3 linked regions of the Rhinolophus ferrumequinum genome follow. The protein of the gene in region 1 purifies or fractionates together with the protein of each later gene. This does not show direct contact. Links are inferred from orthologs where the notes say so. Each region holds a gene or a part of one and is shown in the gene's direction. Other genes may lie near its edges. The genes, in order: MTNR1A, GNAI2 and GNAI3.

Region 1 (7,963 bases):
AAACTTAAAAGTACATTACTAAGTAAAACAAACCAATTTGGAAGGCTACAAACTGTAGAATTCCCACCGTATGATATTCTGGAAAAGGCAAAACTATGAAGACTAAAAAGATAAGTGGTTGCCAGAGGCTGAGGGGAAGGAAGGTTGAATAAGCAGAGCACAGAGTATTTTTACCGCATTGAAAATACTCTGTGTGACACTATAAAGATGAATACATGTCATTATGCAAGTGTCCAAACCCATGGAAGGTACAATACCAGTAGTGAACCTAATGTAAACTATGATTTGGATGATAATGATGTATCAATGTAGGTTTGTAGATAAATAAAGGTGCCAGTGTGGTGTGGAAGGTAGATAATGGGGGAGACTGTGCATGTGGGACAGGGATATACGGGAAATCTCTGTACTTTCCTTCAGTTTTGCTGTGAGCTTAAGACTGCTCTAAAAACGAAAATTTATTAACTTAAAAACCCTACTTTTCAATTCATTTAATGTATTTATTAATTCACAAATTCTTGTCCAATGCTCTCATTTTCTTATGGACTCTCTATTTCCTCTCTGTATCTCATCTGTACATCCACAGTGCATGCTGCTTGTGGGGCAGAGTCCCAGAGAGCAGTTTCCAGGCTCTCGGCCTCACGTGGAAAGGTGCTGGCTCGGGTAGTAGATGGTCATCAGCTGTGACTAGTTGGCCATCAGCTGTACCCGGTCAGCCATTAGCCACTGATATAACTGCCGTGGCTCAGCTAACAAGCGTGGATTGCAGCTAGCAAGTTGGTTGGCTGGGTGGCAGAGAAGTGGACTGCGGATTGCAGATTGTGTGACTCCTGCTTCCTATATCTCCAATCCAGCCTCCAGCAAGAATAAAGTGGTATGAACCCCCAATCCGGGGCTCTGTTGGTGTTCCTTTTTGACCTCTCCCTATCCTGTGTTCTTATGCTGGGAGCGGGACCAGAGTCCCTGCATGACACTGCTATTTGCAGGTTAAGGGCTATGTTTTGAGCATGGTGCCAAGTACATAAAATATTTACCGAACAACTACATTAATGAATGAAAGGAAATTTATTTTAATTTAGTACTTTCCCGTGAAGGCATGGATATAGGAAAGTTACAAAAGGGAAAGTGGAAGCTGGAGTCACCTGAGACACAGGTGGATTTATGTATTTCCTTGATAAGTACCATTCTTTGGCTGCTTTATTGGAAAGGTCCAGGTTTGCCTTGCCACATGGCAAACACTTATGGAATGACTCCCAAAGCCTGGTGGCTGGTAGAATTGAGGTTGTAGAATTCGTGGACACTTTCAAAGGTCAAGTGAAGTTATTTTTAAAAGCTATAGGGTGAGTATGTGCCAAACATAGGCTTGGATGTCTGCAGGGAGAGGTTGGCAGGTTTGATGGCTACAGGTGTTTAGGACCTGTACTGCTCTGGGAAGAAATCTCGGAGAGAACTGCCTGAGTGTGGCTATAGAAGCAAGGTTGTGGCTAATTTGAAACTTCAGTCCATGATATTTGAAAGCAAAACGAAAAGTTTATATTTGCTCTGAATCAGCAGGCCAGTGCAATCTTCTGTCATTTCAAACCGGCAACTTCTTCCATTCTTGTTCTGATTACCCGGGGAAGCCAGCGGGGCTGCACAGAAGTTAAGGACAAGAACTTGGAGTCTTAAGGACAGCTTTCGAGAAACCTCAAAAGAAAAGTAATTGTTGGGAAAGATGATCAAAATTACGGATGACAGTGTGTGGAGTGGAGCGCGGGGGGGAGCTGGGAAAATGATTTCTGTTTCATGGACAGTGCGATACCTCACTGAGAACGTTCCTTGATTTTTTTCTTTTTTCCCCCAACTCTTACTATCTGTAAGTTAGATAAGTTAGATACTCTTTGACTCGCAGTTCACAGATAAGGACACTGGGGCATATGATGGCTAATGAACTAGCCTCAATCCGAGATAGGCTTGGGGCCCATGCAGTCTGGCCCTGCTTGGTGAAATGTCCCAGAGCGAAAACACGATGAACGGAATCACGACCTTCCCTAGGAAGGCTTCTCTGGACTCACTGCTCTTTAGGGTGCAGGCGGTTGGGCCCAGGCAACCCGCACGGGGGCGCTGTCCACACGTAGTGCAGGGATCCAGTCTTGAGCCCTGCAATCCAAGGAGCCCGAAGTGAGGGCTGACGCCAGGTGTTACCAGGCTGGGGCTGCAGGTGCAGAGTCCCGCCGAGGGGAGGCGGTGGACCCCGCAGGGCGGCTAGGAAGGAGCATTTGGGATGGAGAGTGGACGCGGGAAGGCCCGAGGAGCCATACCAGTGGAGGAGCGGGCTCACGCCGCCCTCCAGTAACTTGCAAAGGCGGTGGAGCCGGGGTCGCCTTCCCGGGCCGCGCGATGGCCGGACGGCCGTGGGGCGCGCCGGGCGGGACCTTGAAGGGGAACAGCAGTGCGTTGCTCAACGCCTCTCAGCAGGCGCCGGGCGGCGGGAGTGGGGACGCGCGGCCGCGACCCTCGTGGCTGGCCTCCACGCTCGCCTTCATCCTCATCTTCACCATCGTGGTGGACGTCGTGGGCAACCTCCTGGTCATCCTGTCCGTGTATCGGAACAAGAAGCTGAGGAACGCAGGTAGGGGCTCCCGGGGCCGGGCAGGCTGGACGGGCAGCCCCCAACTTTCACCCGATGGCAGCTTCTCCCCTTTCTGGCCACCTTTCCAGAACGCAGCACCCCCCAGCTGTCAGTTGGCTTTTCCTAAGAAAAGTTCAATTCTTTTCTTAAAAACTGAGGATTTGGAGTAATTTTTCCTAATAGAGACCGAAGTCCATCGGCTTGCTTACCTTTAACCTGCCCGTCAAAGATGTTTTTTCATTAAACAGTAAGAACTCTTCAGTCACTAAGGGGTAGAAAATTTGGGCAGAGTCGCGTTCTTTTTATTTTAGGGGAAACACCCACTATAGTTTTCAGTTTCTGAGGTTTCTTAAATTGAAAGGCACTTGATACAGGTTGCAGAAAATTCCTCAAGAAGTCCTTTCAAATCAGATAACCAACTTACCAATTGCTTGGTTTTACATATAATTTATTTGCCCAACTTTGTGAAAATATGAGAAAAAAATAAGCTGGTAAAAAGATACTGCACTTATTTCAGTTTTGTTCTCAGCAGTAGTTTTTAGTTTTTGGCATACAATTTTAAAAGAATGATAAGCTTCTAAACATGTTTCGGAAAGTGATAATTATTCCTCCAAGTTAAACAAGTTTACATGTTAAAAATAGAAATTGTTGTAATAAAGGGTGTATTTACATATAATATACTACTAAAGCTAATTTCGTGCTGAGATAAACTTGATTTTTACTCCAGGCAATGAATTGAAATTGGTTTATTCTGGATAGGAGCCTGAGGACTGTTTGTCCATAGGACATGGGATGTTCAGATCTCTAAATGCTTAGATACCTAGCTCTTTATTTGTAGGCAAATTTATGGAAATGGATATGGAGAGGGGAAGGAATGATGCAATTACATGTTGTCAAAAGCAATATTTTTGTTCTAACCGAGTAGCTGATCAATGCTGTCATTTCTAGGAGGCCCCCCTTTTTTCCGTATTGCTTGAGACCACGCGTAGTTTAAGAATTAATTAATAAGCACCTGATAACATGAATTGAATTTGAGTTAGTTCATTGAATAATCTCACTTCCTAGGTGATTGAGTTAAACCAGAGGAATTCTGCCTTCAAGAAGCGGCTCCCAGAGGAAAGCATAGGTAGGAGCCTCCTTGGCATAGGTCTTAGTGATGGTATTTTTCAGTCTGACACCAAAAGCAAAAACAACAAAAACAAAAATAAACAACTGAGACTACATGAAACTGAAAAGCTTCTGCACAACAAAGGAAACCATCAACAAAATGAAAAGGCTGCTTATTGAATGGGAGAAAATATTTGCAAATTATCGGATAAGAGGCTCACATCTAAAAATGTATAAAGAACTCATACAACTCAATAGCAAAAAAAAAAAATATCCAATTAAAAAATGGGCAGATGATCTGAATAGACATTTTGCCAAAGCAGACGTAACGACCCACAGGTACATAAAAGGTGCTCATCATCACTAATCATCAGGAAAATGCAAATCAAAACCACGATGAGCTATCACCTCACACCTGTTAAGAATGGCTATTATTAAAAAAGAAGAAGTAACAAGTGTTGGTGAGGATGTGGAGAAAAGGGTACCCTTGTGCCCTATTGGTGGGAATGTAAATTGGGGCAGTCCTTATGGAAAACAGTACGGAGGTTCCTTAGAAAATTAAAAATAGAACTACCATAGGACCCAGCAATTCCACTTCTGGGTATTTTTCCAAAGGAAATGAAAACACTAACTTCAAAACATAGCTTCACCCCCGTGTTCACTACAGCATTCTTTACAGAGCCAAGATATGAAAACAAGCTGTATTCATTGATGGATGAGTGGATAGTGAAATTGTGGTATATTTACAATGGAATGTTATCCAGCCATAAAAAAGAATCAAATCTTTCATTTGTGACACATGGATGGACCTCTAAGGTATTATGCTAAGTGAAATAAGTCTGACAAAGAAAGACGAATACCATGTGATCTCTTCTATATATGGAATCTATAAATAAATACCAAAAGATACAAAGAACCAGATGCAAGGTGGTTACCAGATGCAAGGGTGGAGGGAAGAGGGAGAAATAGGTGAAGTGTTTTGAGGGTTGTTTTTTGTTGTTGTTGTTTTTTCAATTTAAATTAGTTGAATTAAAGAGAGAGAGGAAGAGAGAAAGAGACAGAGAAAGAAAGAGTATGAGAAGACCCAGTGCTATGAGCATGGTATGAGAATTATTCATCTCATACCAGGAGCAAAGCTGTGGGAGAAGCCTGCTTTCTCACCATCGCTGATTTCCTACCAGTCTCCACTACCCCCTGTATAACTGGGTTCTGGAAATGCTGGCTCTGATTATGTATTAATCTGCTTTGCAATCTCATTGCATTACTGATTGTTTTGATTCCTTGGATTAGGGTTCAATAATAGGGCTTTTGTTTTGACCTGTCCAGTGCCCACTCTTTGTACCCTCAAAGAAAAATAAAAGAAGAGAAAAAGAAGAGAAAAAAGAAGAGTCTCATTCTCTCCTAGCAATAAAAGCAGCTTTCTATGGACTAGACACAGTTTGGAGAACCATGTTAACTGAATCCTCAGGGCAGCCATGTGGTGGGGTGCCGTTGTTACCCTCTTCACAAGGGAGGAACGAGGACACAGATTGGCCATACCGACCAGAAGTAGTGGAGCAGGGTTCAAGCCACAGAGCTTGGCCCTAGAGCTCACTCTACTTCATTGCTATCAACAATTGCAGCAGTTGGGAAGTTCGAATCCTGCAGAACCTTTCATTAAAAAAAAAAAATATTCACATGCTTGGAACAATTCTATTTCTGTTATATGACAAAGAACTTATGAAAAGTGCTCCTACCACATTACTTTATATTTTGTTTATTTGTTAAACAATTTTTTGAGATGGCAGTCTATAAAATACTACATTTTTGTAGCTAACCTGAACTTTTTCTCTTTTACCGTTCACCAGCAGATTGTTGCCTGTGCTGAACTTGACTCTTTGCTTGTATCCATTGCTCAGGTAACGTAGGCTGAAGCTCACTGCCTTCTCCATTACCTTTGGCCACACTCACCATCAGTTAATCAATACTCCAGTGTAGGTCCCATTGAACATGTTCATAGCTATCTTGATTAAGCCCTTCACAATTCTGTTTGCTGTACTCTGATTGTATTTCTCTTTCCCCTTCTTTCTTTTCCCTTCTCTTCTCTTGCCTTCTCTTTTCTTCGCCCCCATGCCTGTTTCTTATTTGTTGGCTTCCAGTATTCTTTAATCACCATAATTATATTCAATCTCTTAGTAGAGATCATACTTGTAACTCAGTTTCCTGATTGTGTCTGTTGTGCATCAGAAAAAAAGAGAACCCTGAACTTATAAGCATGTCATATTCTAGAAGTTCACTTACAGATTTCTTTTTTTACAAAGATTTTTATAAAAAATATAGCTAACATACAATGTTATGTTAGTTTCAGGGGTACCCCCATAGTTATTCAACATTTATATACCTAAAGATAATGATAATGTGAGTGGAGCTGGCTGCCTGAGAAAGTAGCTCTGGCATTGGGTGAGTTGGGTGAGGTGGGTTCCTAGCTGAGTCAGCAGGATGAAGCAACGGAGCTCACCAGGCCACATTCAGATTTGGCCCGTGGGGGTGGGCTCAGCACAGGAAAGATGGCACCTGCCTGCAGGCTGCATGGGAGGAAGACATCACCCAGGGAAAATAGTGACTGTCCTACAGCCCTGCCCGGAAGCCACACACCTCAGCCTGTCCATCGCCCCCTCTGCCCATCCCATGTTTCCATGCCTCTAATGCCTCCCAAGTCACCGTCCCTCTGCTGGAGCTCAGGATGAGTGCCTGGGAGTGTGAGAGTCCGTGCACAGGACATTTAAGAGGACGTCTGGGTTTCCCGCAGCCTTCCGTCCCAACCAGATGGTCAGAATCCCCACTGTTTTCAGTCAGATGTGGGGACTCCTCTTCTAGGCACCAGTACTCTGGACTGGGGAGACCGGTGTGGAGCTGGGGTCTTGCGTCTCCAGGGGGAATCTCCATGGCTGAGATATCCCTCCTCGTTCTCAACCACCACACAGAGGTTTGGGGACAGCCAGTTTCTCGTCTACACCCCTTTTACCAGTCTTGAATGGCTCCTCTGTATTCTTAATTATAAAACTTATGTTCAGCTAGACTTCAGATGGTCCTCTAGGTTGATTGTTCTGTAATTTACTTTTAAGTTCAATGTGTTCATGGAAGGAAGCAGGCACAGTGTTTATCTACTCTGCCATGTGGATCTCTCTCTGCTTACAGATTTCTTAAAAGAAGACTTTACATGATATTTTGGCTCTTAAGCTATCTCACAAAATCATCCAAACCAATATGGCTGAAACAATACTCAGAACTTTTGGGCCACCTGTGACTCATGAGACCCTGAAAGCAACCGGCCTTGTTCTGAGTTCTGAACGTCTTGGGATCTTGGGAGAATAGGAAAAAGTAGTGTGGAAGGGACCAATGGAAGCTACACAAGCAACCTCAGAAATGTCAGGGGAGGTCTCAGGAACCAGACATGATGACAGAGGGTGAATTTAGCATCAAGGATGCGGTGGAAACAAGTGTAAGTATTTGCAGCTGCTCATCAGTCAAGTGCTCCTGTGTCCGGGACAAACATATCAGGTCCTGCAAGCAACTGTGGGAGGAGCTTGTACAGAGACTAAATCCAGAACCTAGAGTCTAGAGCTTCTTTACTGAATGGATCTGTGGTTGTAGGTGAGTCATCATGTCTCCGGACTGTTTTCACATCAGCAAAATGATGGGGTTGGAAATATCCGTGAATCCCTTCCAACCATAGTGTCCTTTGATTTACATGGTTATTAAACTCACTCTGAATTTGGAGATTATAATGCTACGAAATTGAGTAGCAATAAAGAGAATCGTGGCTATAATGACATATATGTATATAATAATAATAAGCATCATGGATCTAGGAAAGTGGGTCCTTATGAAAGTGTGCTTCCTTTGCCCTAAACTCTCTGGTTCACTTATCATTTAACTGCTAGAGAAAGTTTCTCTGCTTTATTTTCCTGTCTTAGAAATGCCCCATATAGTTTTCCCTTCTTGGAAGAAAATGAAGTGACCAACTGAATAGCAAATTCAAGCCTCTTTTGGTGGGACTCTTTCTGGTTGAGAAATGATGGACTACTTCTCTGGGATATACGCAGCTTCTTGTATTTGGGTAGGATGAGCAGGGGATGCTTATATTGAGCTGGCCAGCAGTGTCTGTGACTGAGCAAACCCCCTGGGTCGGCCAACTTTCATACCTCTGGGTGGGCTGTGGGGAGAGCTGGGCTCTTCTAGGCCTGTAGAGACCCTGTCAAAATGTAG
Region 2 (7,963 bases), on another chromosome or scaffold:
CAGATGGTGCTGGGCTGGTGTGCACAGGGACCAGTCACACCTCCTATGGCGCGCGTGAAGCCCTGGCTAGGCAGCCACCCCTGACCCTAAAACAACATCTTTCAAAAGGACTCCTGGCTTCCCACGTGTGAAAGAAGCAGGTGCCTGTGATGTCCCTCACTGTATGACCATGGATGAGTCTTGGGCCCTCTGGCCTCAGTTGCCTCAGCTGTAAAGCAAGGAGTTTCTCCAATTCTGACCCTTGATTTTCTCCCTGGTCCTTCCCCAAAGCCACCCTGCCTCCGTGTTCCCTATTCCTGGAACACTTCTTCCTCAGTGCTCTTCTCCCTCGAGCACTCTGTACATCACCTTCCCCAAGAAGGCTCTCTGATCTTAGTTTCTCCCTTCTCTGCGCACACAACTATGGCAAATATTTTTACAGTGTCAGCAGGATTAGTTGTTCACACCTCTCCCAGTTCTAGGATCAGGGACCCCTGGAAGGGTGGGATAGCGTTTGTGTGATTCATTCATTTAAGTTGACATATATTTACCCGTCACCCTCAAGGATTATGCTGCAAGGGGTCTGGAACCAGAGACTCAGGTGGGAAAGACTCACCACCAGGACACTGGGAGTCAGAGAGGCCCAGCTCACAGCCAGAGAAGGAAAGATGGGGAAGTGGGGTGAGTGGGAAGGTGATCAGCGGGGAGGAGAAAGACAGTGGGGTGAACAGGGCAAGTCAGAATCCTGGAGTGCTGGTGTGATGCAAGTGGAGGGAGATGAGAATCTTGGGTTGGGACAGCCCATATAGGGCCTTGCAGAAATTATTATTATAACAACTCACTCCTATTGAAGGCTTTCCATGTGCCACTCATATTCTGAACATTTCACCTACATTTCCTTTTTCTGACCTCAGCCAGTGAGGTGGGTAGATAGTAATGTTAGGCCCATTTTACTGATAAGAAAACTGAGGCACAGGGAGGTACTTGTCCAAAATAATACACAGCTGGCAAGTTTGCCGACTGCTCCCCAGAGTCCTTGTAGTCAATCTCCACTCTACCACCTCTATCTCCTGCACAGTCCAAACAGTGTGTGTGGGTTTTATCCTCAGGGCACGGGGGAGCCACAGAAGGTTTGTGAGCAAGAGAGTGATATGATTTCTTTCAGCAGGATCCCCTTGGCTGCCATGTAGAAGATGGACTACAGGGAAAACAGCAGAGCCAGGGAGGAGTCTGGAGGCCTAGAATAAGGGACTGTGGGAATAGAGAATAGGTACACATTTGAGGGAGAGTTGAGGAGGGGAAGAAGCTGACAGGATGCAAGGGTGGGGAGAGAAAGTCATAGCTCTGGCCTGTGAGAAGTCACAAGGTTGTGAGCCCAGGAGCAGGGCCAGTGGGGCTGTCCAAAGTGTCTGAGGGAGGCTTCAGAGCAATGGTGGACACTGGGTTGGTGACCAGGGGAGAAGCTGGGTTGGAGATGACTGTGTGGGGTTCTGCTGAGCCACTGGAGTGGGAGGTATGTGACTGGAGTAGCAAACAGTGGTCTAGCCAAAGCCCTAGGGACCCCCATGGATATGGAGAGGGAGCAGCCGGGAGGGATGGAAGTAGGGGTTGCTGGACTTTCTAGGAAGAACACATAACTGGAAGGGGGTGGCTAACTGGTGGGAAGGGTGCAAGGAATACACGAGACCTGGCCTGGGGCTGGGGAAAGCCATATTTCCCAGTGGCCCCATCCTGCCCTCCCTCCATTAATTGGGGTCTCTGTCTACCCACCGCTGTTGAGCCTGGCCTCTAGGGAGCTGACAGGTTCTCCCTGTTGCCGGGCAACTGCAAGAGCTGTTGGCTGTTGCTAGGAGCAGGCTGGGGAGGCCTGAGAAGGGAGGATCAGCTCTCAAGCGCAGGGCTGAGCTGGTGGGGGAAGAGGCAAGTCTGGTCACAGACAGGCTGTGTTCTTGGCTGTGTGCACCCATTTTTATAGTCTTCTGTGGTTAGAGGCATGTATAGAGCATATCTCTGAGTGTCTGTGTCACTGGGTGGGCATTATGTGTTTTCACCATGTTGCATGCTTGTGGCAGTGCCTGTCTGAGCTTTGGCTCCAGGAAGGAGGGAGCCCAGGGGGAACCGTTGGAGGACTTACAGGCCAATGGCTCCTCAACAAGGGAGCCATTCAGATAGGGATACAGACACTCCAGGGGGAGCAGACAGCCTGAGGACTGGGAGCTGAAACAAGATGTGTGCCAGGGTAGGAAGGAGGGAGTCTGCTGAACAGGGGCTGTGGGTGGCCAAGCGTTGGTGACCGAGCATTGGTGGCCAGTTCCCCTCCTGGCTTTGTTGACCTTTTCTGTCTTTGGGTTGGGGCCATCTCGGCTATTGCACTAGATACACTGCTGCCTCCACCCCACCTTTGCCCCGTCATAGGGTTGTAGCCACTGTCTAGTGGAGTCAGGCCATAAGATCATGGCCACTTATATTTTCAGAGGTCAGTTGGCATCTCTCTCTCTGTCTCTCTCCTCCTCACTTGGGTCCTGGTTGCGGAGACCCAGGCTGGAGTCCAGGATGCCTACCTGCTGGAGAATGCCTCCTAGAAGAACTGAGGATAGAGTAAGTCCTGGATGACTAGAAAAAGCAAAGATGTAGAAGTGGCAATAGACTTTTTGTAAAAATTGCAACCCAGAAAGAGAAGGGGAGCAAACCCTCCTTAGGACGGAGAAAGCCGCAGTCCAGAGAGACTCTGGGCTCTGTAGATCCCAAAACAAGTTTATTGGGTTTATTAACTTTAACAAGTGCGAGGACACGCCTCCTCCACCCGGTTCGCGCAACTCGATGAAGCTCGGAGGGCTGCTTCCTGCTCCGCCCGCAAGGTGCACCCGATCTCCACCCTCAGGCTACGAGATCCTCCCGCCCCGCGGTTGGGCTGCGCCCCAGGAGCTCCGCACCCAATCGGATGCCGGCCCCGCCTGCAGCCCGCCCCGAGTCCTATCCCTCTGGGCTTGGCGATACCTCTACGGCTCTCCCTCGGCGTGGCTCCGCCTCCAGCCCGCGCCCGAGCCTGGGCTGCGCCTAACTCCTTAGTTCCGCCCTCGAACCAATCGCTGGCCCGAGATCTCCTGTGGCCCCGCCTCCAGACCCGCCCCTGCCCAGTGCCGGGCCTGGCTCGTTCCGGCCCCACCCCCGGCCCGCCCCGCCGTCGGTGCGCGGAGCCCTGGAAGGCACCGCCCGCAGACGCTCGCAATTGCCGACCGGAGAGCTACCCGAGGAGAGCCGGCGGCGGGAGCGGAGTGGGTTGCGCGCGGGGCCAAGCCGGGCCGGGGGCCGTGTCGGGGCCGAGCGGCGGCCGGGCCGGCGGACGGCAGGATGGGCTGCACCGTGAGCGCCGAGGACAAGGCGGCGGCCGAGCGCTCCAAGATGATCGACAAGAATCTGAGGGAAGACGGAGAGAAGGCGGCGCGGGAGGTCAAGTTGCTGCTGTTGGGTGAGGCCGCGCCCTGCGCTGGGACCCCCGACTCCCCGCCCAAAACCCCCAACAAGGACTTTGACCTCCAGGCTAGGGCTTTGAACTCCCAGACTCGGCCTGGACCCCCACATCTGAATTTGAACCCCCAGACCTGGCCTGGCCAGGACAACCAAATAATGATTCAAAAGTCTGGGTTGGTCCAGACCTCTGATCTATAGCCCAGAGTCGAGGTTAGACCTTCAACTCATTCCAGTCCCCAAAGCCGGCCCCCAGTGCCTCAACATAAGCTGCTCAGAACCCGGCTTGAAAATCCACCTTTACTGACCAACCTCACAGACCCTCAGAGCCGCTGCCTGTCCTCATCCTTCCCTAGACTTTACCCAAACCCCCAGAACCCTACTCGGCCCCCAGACTGCTCACCGTATTCCGTTCGGTGGAAGTATCCTCAAGGCCCCTGCCTGGCCCCCTTTCCCTCCTTCCCGCTCTGTTCCCCATCTCTACACGGCACCCTGTATCCTCCACCTGTGCACCCTGATCCCAAGGGGCCTCTCAAGTGGGAAACCATAACTGCTCCTGAGCCCTCTCTCCAGCTGGAACCCCCAAACCCTTAAAGACCTCTGCTGCCTGCATCTGGCCCACCAGGTCTCTGCCCGCATCACTCCTCAGACCCGCTGTTTCCCCTCCGTGAAGTCCTCTTCCACACTTCGGCCTTTCCCAGAGTCCCCCACCCCTCCTGCACTGGATGGGCCAGGCTGGGAGGAGGTGGCCCAGACCCCCAAGGGGTCCGACTAAGGCTTCACTGGTCCCACTTGGGGAGCCCGGGCCTCTGCATCCCAGGGCTGTCCTTTTCCCAGTTTCTAAGCCGGGTCTGGGCCGGTGAGGGGGAGGTCTGGGGGGTAGGAGGGAGTGTGGAGGAGTTGGGGTTGTGGCGCCTCCAGGGCCAGGGAAGATGGTGGCTGCTTGAGAGGTGGGGGAAGTGGAAGTGGTAAGACAGCGAGCCGACATATTGCTGCCCTGGCGGGCGGGCGGGCCGAGGAGATCTGCTGACGGGTGCCAGGCTTCCTGCACGCCTCTGGGCCTAACGGCCTGGGATGTGGCCTCCGGGAGGGGGTGGCCTGTTGGATCTTGAGGCCGTGTGAGGAGCGAGTGGTGGACCAGCTGGATGGGGGGTAGGGGGTAGGCGGGGGGCACCTGAGGTGGACTTTTACAAAGCCTGTGGGCCCTGTAGTTGTCCCCATCCAGCCTCCCACTGGGAGCAGGTGTGGTGCCCAGTGGCAGCCTGATTTGGGGGAGGTTTCGGGCTTGGAGGGAGGGAAGCCCCTGGCAGCAGCATTGGAGGCTGGACAGTGTATGGGGGGGTGTGGCCCCTCAGCCTCAGAGCTGCTGTGGGGTCCCAAGCTGTGAAAAGTGGGGCTTTTCATGCTGGGCGTATGGCCGAGGGGCCTATGGCCGAGGGACAGTGTGTCTTTCGTCATGCGTCCATCTGTTGACTGTCCCTGGGGGCCTGGCCTCGGGGGCACAGCCCCGAGGTTTCAAAATGGCATCCGCTCCAACGCTGCGGGAGGAAGAGAAGGGGCGGGAAGGGGCGGCGGCCCAGCCTCCTGGGCTGTTTTGCGTTGGGCGCTTGCCTCTTCCTGTCTCTGTGCTGCGAGTACAGCGGCAGTGAGTGGGTGTCGCCGATGGAATGCCCGTGGCTGCTGCCTGCTGGGCCTGGGAAAGGTGCTTCTGGTCCTGCTGCCTCCCAGTGCCCGACCAGGGGCCTCTAGCCAGCCCCTTGGCAGGCCCGTCAGAGTTATTGTGGCAGCTGAGATGTGGGACTGGGCCATGGGGCGGGGGGACACAGGGCTTCTGGGCTGTTCTGTGTCTGGACCGCATCCCACCAGTCTTGCTCCTAGGAGCCTGGCTCAGGTTTTGGGCCTGGCAACCCCTCCCACACTGGGCTGTCACAACCAGGGGTTCAGGGTACGGCTCAGCATTTTCTAGGCTGGGGAGTCCATTTCAGCATCCTGCCCCTCTGGCTTTGCTTCCCTCCCCATCCCCTACCCCCATGAAATGGGCTTCCTGGGTTTGGGCCAGAGGAGTGCCTGGGTCCAGGCTGGGGAGAAGAGGGGCTCGTGGAGGAGTGTGGGGGTGGGCGCTAAGACCCTGCAGACAGTGCACTGCTAGGGTCTGGGAGACTCAGCTCTGCCTGACATTGAGGACCCAGTCTGCCATGGCTGCGTGGGGAAGGGTCCTGGCTGGCCGTCCCTTTCTTATCCAGGTAGAGGAGGTGATGGGAGCCCAGCTGGGGCAGCTTCGGTGCTGGGCACCTGTCCCACATAGCGGGAAGGACTCTATCCAGGCAACGGGACTCAGGTTGGGCAATTGCCAGCCTTCCTTCCCAGACAGAACCACGCCTGCTGCCCCACCCACATACTGGCTCCTTCCTGTCCTGGATAGTCCTGGGTAGCCCTGCCAGCAAATGGGCACAGCACTGTCACCTGTGCAGAGGCAGGTGGGGTCCACACTGGTGAGAGGGTTTTTCCTGGCAGCCTTGCTGTGGGGAGCAGAGTTGCCAATACCAGCCCTACCCGAGGGATAACCCCCAGCCCCACCTGCTATCCACAGGTGGAATTTGGGGCCTTGGGCTGAGCACTTAGGAGAAAGGAAGCCAGAGTGTGTGTTTGGGGGTGTCTGTGACTTGGGATGGGCTTGAGAAAGGAGAGACAGTGCCCATCGTTGTCTCCATGGAGGCTTCAGGTTGTAAATACAGCGGTTCTCTCTTGCCCCTGGCACTTGGCATCTGTTTCCTTCCCCTGATGTGCGCGGTATACTTTCCCCATGTCCTTCTCACTCACTCCTACTTGGTTGTTCTGCAGGACTCAGGGATCTCACCCCGATCCTTCCGTGACAACCTCCTTCACCACGGCCGGGAAGCACTTTCTCTGGCTCCTGGCACTTCTGTCGTCAGAGCATGGTCTTTGCCATGGGTCACAGCTGCCCTCCTTTGAGACTACAGGGGCAGGGCTGTGTCCTGTTCATTTCTGAGCCTTCCATGCCAAGCACGGAGCCTGGCACCTATTGGATATTTCTTGTCTGTTTGTTGAATGAAGGGAAGTGCTACTGGTCTGAATTTGGCCTTGGGGGTGGGTAGATGGAGGAGTAAGATGGTGGTCACTGAGCCACAGCCTGGCGTATCATGGGCAGGTGGCAAGGGCTCAGTATAGAACCAGTGACTGGTGATGGTGGTCGTGATGGGGGACAGTGAGAGAAAAAACCTTGGGTTTTTTTTTTCCTGGTCTCGCCACAGGCTATGCTGGCACCTCAGAGACAGCCCTTACTCCACTGCAGGCGGAACTTTTGCTGACCAGGCTGCAGCCTGTCACAGGGCACAACACACAGTAGGGCCTCCCACTGTTGCTAGGGGAGAGTGGCTTTGCAGTATTCCTTTCAGCTCAGGCTGTTCGGGGACTGTTGCAGGCCTGTCTGGCAGTGCTACTGGAGTTCCTGGCCTGGCCAGTGCAGACTAAATATGAGGGATCGATTAGGTTTACCAGAAGAAAAGGAAGGGTGTTTTGTGGCCTTTGTCCTGTCTATGTCTCTAGCAAAGGGCTTGGCACACTGGGTGCCTAATAAGGGTGTATGGGAAGAACAAAGCTATTGAGCATATCTATGAACTGGGATAAGTAATTCTGGGGCCGCTGCTTGGGGCTTAGTGTAGCTGGAGATAGTGGGAAATGCTAACGTGGGATCCTGGCTGGCTGGGTAATGGGGAAGGGTGCTTCCTGGAGAAGGGGTCCTCTGGGTGGCCTTGAAAAATGACAAACATTTATTACGGCCAGGCATTGGGAGCAGAGGGACCAATTCAGCAAGGGCGCTGGGGGTGGAAGGCCTGGTGTAGGTTCCCGAGCCCTTCCTTGGGTAGGTGTTTCCTAGCCTAGAGAAGGAGGTCTCACCCTCTCTACACCAGCTCTTGGGGTCCCCAGATCTGGGTTCAAATCCCAGCTCCACCTAGGCCACTGGCTGAGAAACCCAGGGACAGGTGAAATCCTGGGAAGCGTCGTGCTCTCCATCCATAACCTGAGGCCTGGGGTGCTTGACTGCAGCCACAGCTATTGTGGGGACAGTGGGTCACAGCTTAGAGGTGTGAAAATGGTGAGGGATCCTCTGCTGACTGCTACCAAGCTGAGAGTTTGGTAGGGAGGGATCTCCCCAGTCTAGAGGCGGGCTGGCCCCAGTGGGGAGGCCCTGGGGAACCTCCTTCCTTGCCCTCAGGCACTGCTCTCTGCTAGTGGAGAGGCTGAGGTCTGTGGACAGTTGGTGCTAGCTGGAGTGACAAACTGCCCTGGGGACCAGAAGCCCACCCTCGGGGGAGGGGGCGCTGAGCCACCTTCCTGGGGGTCTAGGTAGCTGGGCCAGCCTCCAGCTCCCTTACCCCTCCTTTTTCTCCAGCTTTTGCCATCCCGTCTGGAGCTCATTAGCATTTGAATGGGAGGCGGGGCGGCTTGGGCCTCCCAGTCTCCTTTTCCCACCCCCACCCTACCCCCTCTGGGT
Region 3 (7,963 bases), on another chromosome or scaffold:
GTGAGAAATGTACTGGAGAATTTGTTCGTGGTTCTAACTTATGAGAGTTCAGTCCATTAGAGCAAGATACCTACACGGAGGCTTCCTGCAGACTACGTAAAGTGTGGGGGTTGTAAATGAAACTCTACTTGAAAAAATACCTTATTCAATGAAACTAGGCAAACAGCTTTCCCCCTTTAGATCTAGGAAAATTATCAGGTTTCTGTCTTCCTACCACTAGACTTCCTCTAGTCTAGCGCCTATTATATTGAGGGAATCCTTTAGATAGTATATACAACGGGGAGAGTCTTTTGTGATTGCAAAACATATTCTCATCTCTCCTCCCTTTTAAGATAGACTCCTAACGGAGGAATCTCATTCCTAGATAGGGGAAAACTCTTCCAAACATCACTGATCTGCTAGTAGGCCCTAAGCATTGCCAGTAGGTGGCAGTGTGTGTCCAGTGGAAACAGGAAAGGTGTCTGTAAGTGGGTAAAGGGGTGTGGGGAGGACATTCAACGTTGTCTGGCAGCCATTTTGTTAATTTATTTTGCCTTTTCCTTTGACTTTGCCCTCCAACCCTTCCTTCCCATACATCAAAGAAGAAAAATTTAAATTCAAGGATAACTCTAATTCAGGCTGAAATTTCCTGGCACTGTGATCTCACTGGCATTTATTACAGAATTTGACATATGCTGGTTCGTTTGCCATTTATTTTGAGTAGATCATGAAGGAAATAAAAGATTCTATTATGCTGAGAACTTTCCCAACAGTTTCTGCCATGACAACCTCCTAAGAGTTTTCTAGCCACTAGGATCACTTGGGTAAAGTTCGATGTGTAATCTTGAGCTGTGCAAGTTGTTCCTGGACACAATTTGACCTCCCTAATCCACGGAAGAATCAGTAACCGTCCTGTCAGTTACTTTTTCCTGCACCCTGGTCGTGTTGGGGTAACTCTCAATCCTAGATGAAAACCTTGTTGTCAGGTTTTCCCAGGTAACACAGTGGCATAGTAGTAAAGGGGTGCATTTGGAGTCAGATAAACACCTACTCACTGTGTGAAGTTGGGAAAGATGTTTAATTTCTGAGCCTATTTCCTCATCTGTAAAAATGGGGATAACATTACCTACCTCACAGGGTTGTTGTGAGGATTAAGAGATATGTGGAAGCACCTAGCCATACTTGGCAAACAGGTACTCAATAAATACTGGTTTTTCTTCCTTTTCCTCTTGCCCTTTCTCCCTGTAAGTACCGATCATGGGAAAGCAGTCCCTTTTATTGTAAGTTATTAGGGAATGGGTAGGAGACTTCAAACTGAAGAACTGGTATTAAGCTACGGGGGATGAGGCTGTTTAAGGTGGCTCTCAAGAAATCCCTCTAATTATTCAATCATTATATAGACCTTTCTGTTGGGACCTTATATTCTAAGGTTCAGATTCTATTAGGGAAGTAGTTTGAATCACAGGGAAAGGTTTTGGGGGGCTACAAGTGTTCCCCTCTCTATAATGTATGGTGTTTGTGGGTCTATTTGGCAGTAAAGATAATTTAGGGTCACCTTCCCGGTAGTACCCAACATTATGAGTGACAAAAAGACCATCAATCTGGGGCTTTCATAGGGAATTTATTCATTTTCACATGATGCTAGAGCCGAGAGGCCAATTTTACTAGAACTTCCCTTTTTGTGTGGTACCACAACAGGAAATTTCAGGAGATTCACAGGATGCACTGGTTTGTTTTGGGGTGCGGGACTGAGAGTAAGTAATGTTGGTGGACGTCCTAAGCCCCTGACGCAGACGGTATGTGAGCGATGAAACAGGCTTATATTGGGAAAAGCATGGAAATTTTATGGAGAAACTACACGCTTACCTTTCGGGTAGCATCTACTATGTGGCCCTTGGCTAACCTAGTGGCTGGGCAACTTTCAAGCCCACCGAAATTCGTACATAACGGCCCAAAGACCAGACAGCAGGCGGCAAGAGGCTAGAGGAGGAGGCAGAAAGTGATCTCTCAAGACCGAGGCATGGTCGGTCTTAGATACCGGATGTGAAGTGCGGCGGGGGCCCAGGCTCTGCAGTTTGCTCTCATCTGGCTTAGGCGAGCCCGGCAGAGAAGGTGTCCTACACTAACTTAGGCAGGGAACCCGAGTTTCCAAATCCAGAGATCAAAGGGGGCTTTCTGGCCAGTGAGAAAGTCCCAGCAGAAATTTCCGTGCGGGCTATGGGCTCTTATTTGGGAATCCCCCCCCATTCATCCAAAACAAATCTGTGTGACTTCGGGAGGGCGCCATGAAGGAAAGAAGCTAGTCCCCAGTTTTTTTACATTTATCCAAATAAGGCAGCCGAACAGGTGAAAGAGGTCTAACGTCGAGCACCGCAAGGCGAGTCCCACATGACCCGACTACTCCCGGAGAACCGCAGGCGGGCCACGCCCTTCTACTCCGGCTCCCCGTACTTCCGCTTCCGGTTGCACCTTTTCTACCCCAGCTAGAGACGCTCAAACAGGAACAGCCGCTGGGCGTTGCCGGAAGTGTCGTACACGCCGGATATCCGGTTTCTCCGGGCGCTTGGCGAGCTGACGGAGAGGGCCGCCGCCCAGCAGAAGAGGCTGTCTCGGCCGTCCGAATCGCAGTGTCCGCGGTGTGTGAGTGAGCCCGGGCCCGGTCCCCTCTCCCGCCGCCGCCATGGGCTGCACGTTGAGCGCCGAAGACAAGGCGGCGGTGGAGCGGAGCAAGATGATCGACCGCAACTTGCGGGAGGACGGGGAGAAAGCGGCCAAAGAAGTGAAGCTGCTGCTACTCGGTGAGGGGCTGGGGGCGGGGCTGGCGGGTGTCGGGAGGGCCTAGGCACTTGGGGGCCCTGAGGGAAAGGACCCCGAAGGGGGTGGAGGGCGTGAAGTACCAGGCGTAGGGTTTTGGGGTTGTAGGAATTAGACTGGAGAGGGTGTGACCGTGCTGGAATTGCGTTTAGCGAAGAGTTTGGGGCAGTAGGACCTTTAGACTGTGAGGTATGTGGGAGAAGCTCATAAAGGAAGAGAAGGATATTAGGGAAGGTTTGAAAGGGGTTGGAATGTGTTGGTGGCAAGGAGGACGGGATGGTGTGGTGGGCTTGTTTAATGGCTTGTGAGGTGAGAGCGTGGGGACACTTTCAGACAGGGTAAGTAGCTGGAACGCTTGAATAGTTGAATAATTATTATAAATAGAAAGAGAGACTAGGACAGAGTGGTCCCAAAAGGACCACCCTGTCATTTATTAGAGAGTGGACATTTTGAACTGTTGGTGAGGTGGAGGAACCCTGGATTATCCATGAACATGAAAGTGTGTGGTGGAGATAAATCCAAAGTTTTCCGGTATAAAGGAAAAGAGCTTTATACCTGAGTACAGAGACTGTATATACTTGAACACCTTTTTCGATCATTTTTATTTTCTTAAGGTTTTCTAAGTGCTTGTTTTTATAAAGGGGAGATGGTGTGAGCTGAGGAAATTTAAGGACTGGCTTATTTGAGGTTTGTGGCAAAGATGCAGTGAACAATAGGTTACACGTTGGTGTTTGTTGAACAGTTGTTAGGGATGCTGTGCAGTGGGAATGGAATTATCTTAGGAAAAATGACAGAATTGGACACACTTACTACACAGGCTGTGAGAGACTTCTGGTGAGATGTTTTATCTTTTTGGTCTCTTCAAACTAAAAATCCTGGCTTCGGGAATTACTGTTTATTTTACTTGACATACGTTTTAAGTGGCGTTTATGTGCAGTCAGATGCATTTTACTCTGCACGATTAGTTTTCACATTTTTGAGACACTGGCTTCTAGGGTTCAGTAAACCATATAGAATGCCCTGGCATCAGCTTACCAGTAAATCAAGTCACATTTCTTCACTATAAGTGTTTTCTAGAGATCTGTTGGACAATAAGTGGGAGTAATGGTTTTTGTAAGCAGTAGAACTTTACTTTTTAAAACAATGGATTTTGAGAAAAAGAAGTCACTGTAGGAGAAGTGCCAAATTTCCGTGATGTAAAGCCGGAGAGGACAGGATGCAGCACCATAACCTAATTTTGTACTCCAGTGTGTGCTGGGTGCCCATGCTAGTCTCTTCATGTTAACATGTTTGGTGGTTTGTAGATTGCAGAAGCCTTGGTAACAGCTTTTTGGATGTAGGGGGAAAGTTAGGCATTGGAGCTTGAGCTTTCAGTTGGAATACCTGATCTTTCGGAACACGTCAATTCAAATTGTATTTCTAGATTGCCAGTCTCTGTGTAATAGGTATTATTTGTGAATGAGCATGGTCTTTGGCACATAGTAGGTGCTCCTAAAATACTATGTTTCCCCCAAAGTAAGACCTAGCCGGACAATCATCTCTAATGCGTCTTTTGGAGCAAAAATTAATATAAGACCGGGTCTTAAATTATAATATATGACGGTGTCTTATATTATAATTTTAAGACCCGGTCTTATAGTAAAATAAGACCAGCTATTATATTATATTATATTACATTACATTATATTGTACCCCGTCTTAAGACTGGGTCTTATGTTAATTTTTGCTTCAAAAGATGCATTAGAGCTGATTGTCTTGCTAGGTCTTATTTTTGGGGAAACGGTGTTTATTGTTAACCAGCAGGAACCAGCTAATGTTCCATTGCTCCTGGGGCCTTTCATATGTTTGATAGAAACCACAGTGCTCAAGGCATTAGCATTGTCTGTATTGATCGGTTAGTTAATGAAATTTAAGGTGTGTCTCATCTTCGTGGGTGTTTTGATTTACATTGACCACTGGAGAGCCCCTCAGGACCTAGCCTATTGTAATACAGTTGTTAACAGTGAGGCTTTCTTCCAGATGGCAGGATTTGGCAGGCAGCACTTGGACCAGTAGAACTTGTCCAAATGTCTAGAAAAATCGTTATTCAGGACTTTATAAATAGTACACTTAATTAAAAACGAAATTAAACACATGGTGACTTAGGGAACTTCAAAAGCAGTAAAAATCAAACTACTGTGTTTGCTTTTAAATTTTATGTTTCATTGTTTTAAGTAAGATTTTTTTTATATTCTTGAGCAAGTTAAGTCGACAAATTCAAATAGATTGCACAGACAGATGCTCTTGCTTGAACCATATCATAACGCATGTGTGAAATTAAAGTTGTCTTCTTTGCTATTTTTATAAGCAAAATATAGCCATCACAGTATACAAAGAATTTTCTTACTGTAGAATACCTCTTCTGATGTACATGTAAGTCATTTTTACTTCATCACTCTGAAGCTATCGAACTAGTCTGAGTTTAGATCTACTTGCCCTTGTCTGTCCTGGCACATAATAGGTGTTCATCAAATATTACTGTATTTAAAAAAACAAACCTGGGGGATGTGTATACCTTAGTGCTTCAGAAAATCCATGACCTTTCTAAAATAGCAAACTTTATGTTATATACATTTTTCTGGTGGGCGGGGGCCATAGTGTTTCATCAGGTTCTTCCACAATATTACCTAACTTCCATTTTTTGAAGTCCCTCATCTTGGACCAGGAAAATCAGTAGCTGTGCAAAAAAGGAATGTTCAAAATGCAAAAGAAAAACATCTAGACACTGTGAAGAGTCTCTTATTTCCTCTTTGAGAGGACAGTTTTTTACTTGGAATTTTTGAGAAATGTGTTTTCTGTATGTCAGATGGCTCCTTTTTCTCCCCTTTCTCCAGTGAGTTAAGGAACTGCTCGCTGCCACTTACCTCAGGGCAATCTCTCTAGCAAACTTGCTTCCCTTCTTCGCTTCTTTCCCCTAAATCTGCTTGCAGTGAAATTTTCTGTTCCAGCATCATCATCTCAAAATTACTTAGACTGAAAATGGGATTTGATTGTTTGTTTGTTTGTTTTTTAACTCTTGCTCTCATTTTTTAACCAGTCAATTGCCAAATTTTGTGACTCAGTTGTTACCAGATTTTTGGAATTCATGGACCAATAAAAGTAATTTTTTTATTGTTGAGCGACTTATCATTCCAACATTTTCTTTTTCTTATAAATACATTTTAAAAATATTCCAGACCATCATCTATCTATTATGATTACTATTTAGTTCCCTTCATAAAACCTTTTTGATGTTCTTAATTGAATCTGATCTGTCCTTCTCTTTGAAACCTTACAGTACTTTTATGCCTCTTACAGTCTGTCTGCCTGATATTATGGTTATTTGTATACTTGGCTGCTCCTAATTATGTGGTCCTTGAGGGCTGACAACTACGTATTTCTTGTCTATCTGCTGCAGAACCTAATATAATGCTAAAATGTTTTGCCTGTGATAGAAACTCACTCATACCTGTTCCAGTCAAGGAGGGGTTTGTTGAAGGGGCACAGTAGGCAACTTCTTAGGCATCAGACATCCAAGGATAGGTAAATGAACTCCAGCTAGGTTGTGTGCAGGTGGATTGTGATTCGTGCCCCCTGCGCCCATTTCTCCTGCAGCAGTAAGGTCACTTGCTCCGGTCACTTGCTCCGCTTTATTGGTTAAGTCATCTCTTCAGATCAGCTTTCTCTGCTCACTCCCAGTTTTCAGCTCCGGCTTTCTCTGACTCCTCTGGCTTACACATGTCTGACCTGGTAGTTAAGTGCTTCACGTCTTCTGACTCAGATCCCCATTCCAGATTCCCAGGAAAGAATATCAGACTGGCCCAGCCTTGTCAGGTGCCCATCACAATCTTGTCAGCTTCGTGGGACTAGGGCAAGGTTGAGGGGGTGTTGTGAGTTCCACAAGGCTCGCCCTTTCAAGGGCTGGGTGGGTCAGATTCTCTGTGAACACGCATGGCTAGAGAGTTAACGATTAATAGATGACAGTGCCTGCCATCTTGTAGGCACTCATTCCATTGAAGTTGGACTTAATGGAATGAGATGGAATTATTGAAGAACTAAACACATCACTGCTTTAGTTTTTCATTAATTCACAAGAATATGCCTGCTAATTCTCAACATTAAGTTGCCATTTTGTATGGGTGAGAGATGTAGTTAAATTCAACTTGAGGTAGGGTGCAGGGTCTTGAACTCCCATGATCAACACATCCAACTCAGAATAGTTAGTCACCTGCATTTAATTACCTTCGATTGTAGTTCAGGCATTGATTTTTTTAAATGCATATAATCAATACAGGGTCTATGCTTCATCATCCCTGCTTTTTCCTGGCTGTCTTCCCTCCCCCGCCCATTTTTATGAGTACCAGAAAATTGTCCAAAGCTAAGGGAAGGGATAAAATGGACGGTTTTGCTCCTTGTGAATAACCTTCCTTAGAGAGGTTTTTATTAGAGAGTAGGTAAAAACATTTGGCAAAGCAGATTGCTCATAGATTTTAGCTATCCATGCTGTGTTCTCCTTATGTTTAGTTTGGTTTTGTTGTATTGGGGGGTGGGGCTTAGGAGAAGTGGAGAGTAAAAAATGCTCTAAGTACTCAGGAGCTAGTTAGTATATTAGCAGTAAAGACCAAAAAACATGTGGGTCTCATAAGAAATGTCTAGACAGTGGACACTAAATTTGTTCAGATTTCTGAAATGTGTTTTAAAATTTGTTTTCTGGTCAACAGAATACGGTAGACTATTATAGTGTATCTCTTTGAACTGGTAACTCAGTTCAGGAATAGGAGATACCAGGCAATGTAGGGCGAAGGGCAAAAAGACTGAGAATTGGGAGATCAGCCCTGATCTCTGAGCTTCAGTTTCCTTCTTCTGCACAAGAGGCCTGATTTCAGGGGTCCCTCGTCTTTGGAGTTAATATTATCAACCAGATGGAATACTTTAGCAAGTCGTTAAAGAGGCTTATTTTTGTGTTATTTCTCTTATTCTTCAGTTTGAACTTAACATAATAAAGCTATTAGGGAAGGTAGTTAGAAACCTGAAAGACTTAGGTTCGTAAAGTGCCCATAATGTAAATGTTCAAGAGAATGTAAAGAAAAGAAAAAGAAAGAAAAAGACATTGTTCTAGTATTTGATTTCCCCTCCATTTTTAACTGGCTTC

Evidence for each region.
Region 2: the proteins of MTNR1A (region 1) and GNAI2 purify together in Homo sapiens (tandem affinity purification; 3 studies listed by BioGRID and IntAct, with this or other methods). This does not show direct contact. The link is inferred for Rhinolophus ferrumequinum from reciprocal best matches to the Homo sapiens genes MTNR1A and GNAI2.
Region 3: the proteins of MTNR1A (region 1) and GNAI3 purify together in Homo sapiens (tandem affinity purification; 3 studies listed by BioGRID and IntAct, with this or other methods). This does not show direct contact. The link is inferred for Rhinolophus ferrumequinum from reciprocal best matches to the Homo sapiens genes MTNR1A and GNAI3.

Annotation. Positions count from the first base shown.
Region 1 is NC_046287.1:75,769,074-75,777,036, forward strand, and holds the start of MTNR1A (melatonin receptor type 1A), read left to right. Parts: upstream 1-2,376; coding exon 2,377-2,608; intron 2,609-7,963.
Region 2 is NC_046300.1:6,338,625-6,346,587, reverse strand, and holds the start of GNAI2 (guanine nucleotide-binding protein G(i) subunit alpha-2), read left to right. Parts: upstream 1-3,173; 5' UTR 3,174-3,330; coding exon 3,331-3,448; intron 3,449-7,963. UniProt on the Homo sapiens protein: Guanine nucleotide-binding proteins (G proteins) are involved as modulators or transducers in various transmembrane signaling systems.
Region 3 is NC_046305.1:41,702,237-41,710,199, forward strand, and holds the start of GNAI3 (guanine nucleotide-binding protein G(i) subunit alpha-3), read left to right. Parts: upstream 1-2,521; 5' UTR 2,522-2,659; coding exon 2,660-2,777; intron 2,778-7,963. UniProt on the Homo sapiens protein: Heterotrimeric guanine nucleotide-binding proteins (G proteins) function as transducers downstream of G protein-coupled receptors (GPCRs) in numerous signaling cascades.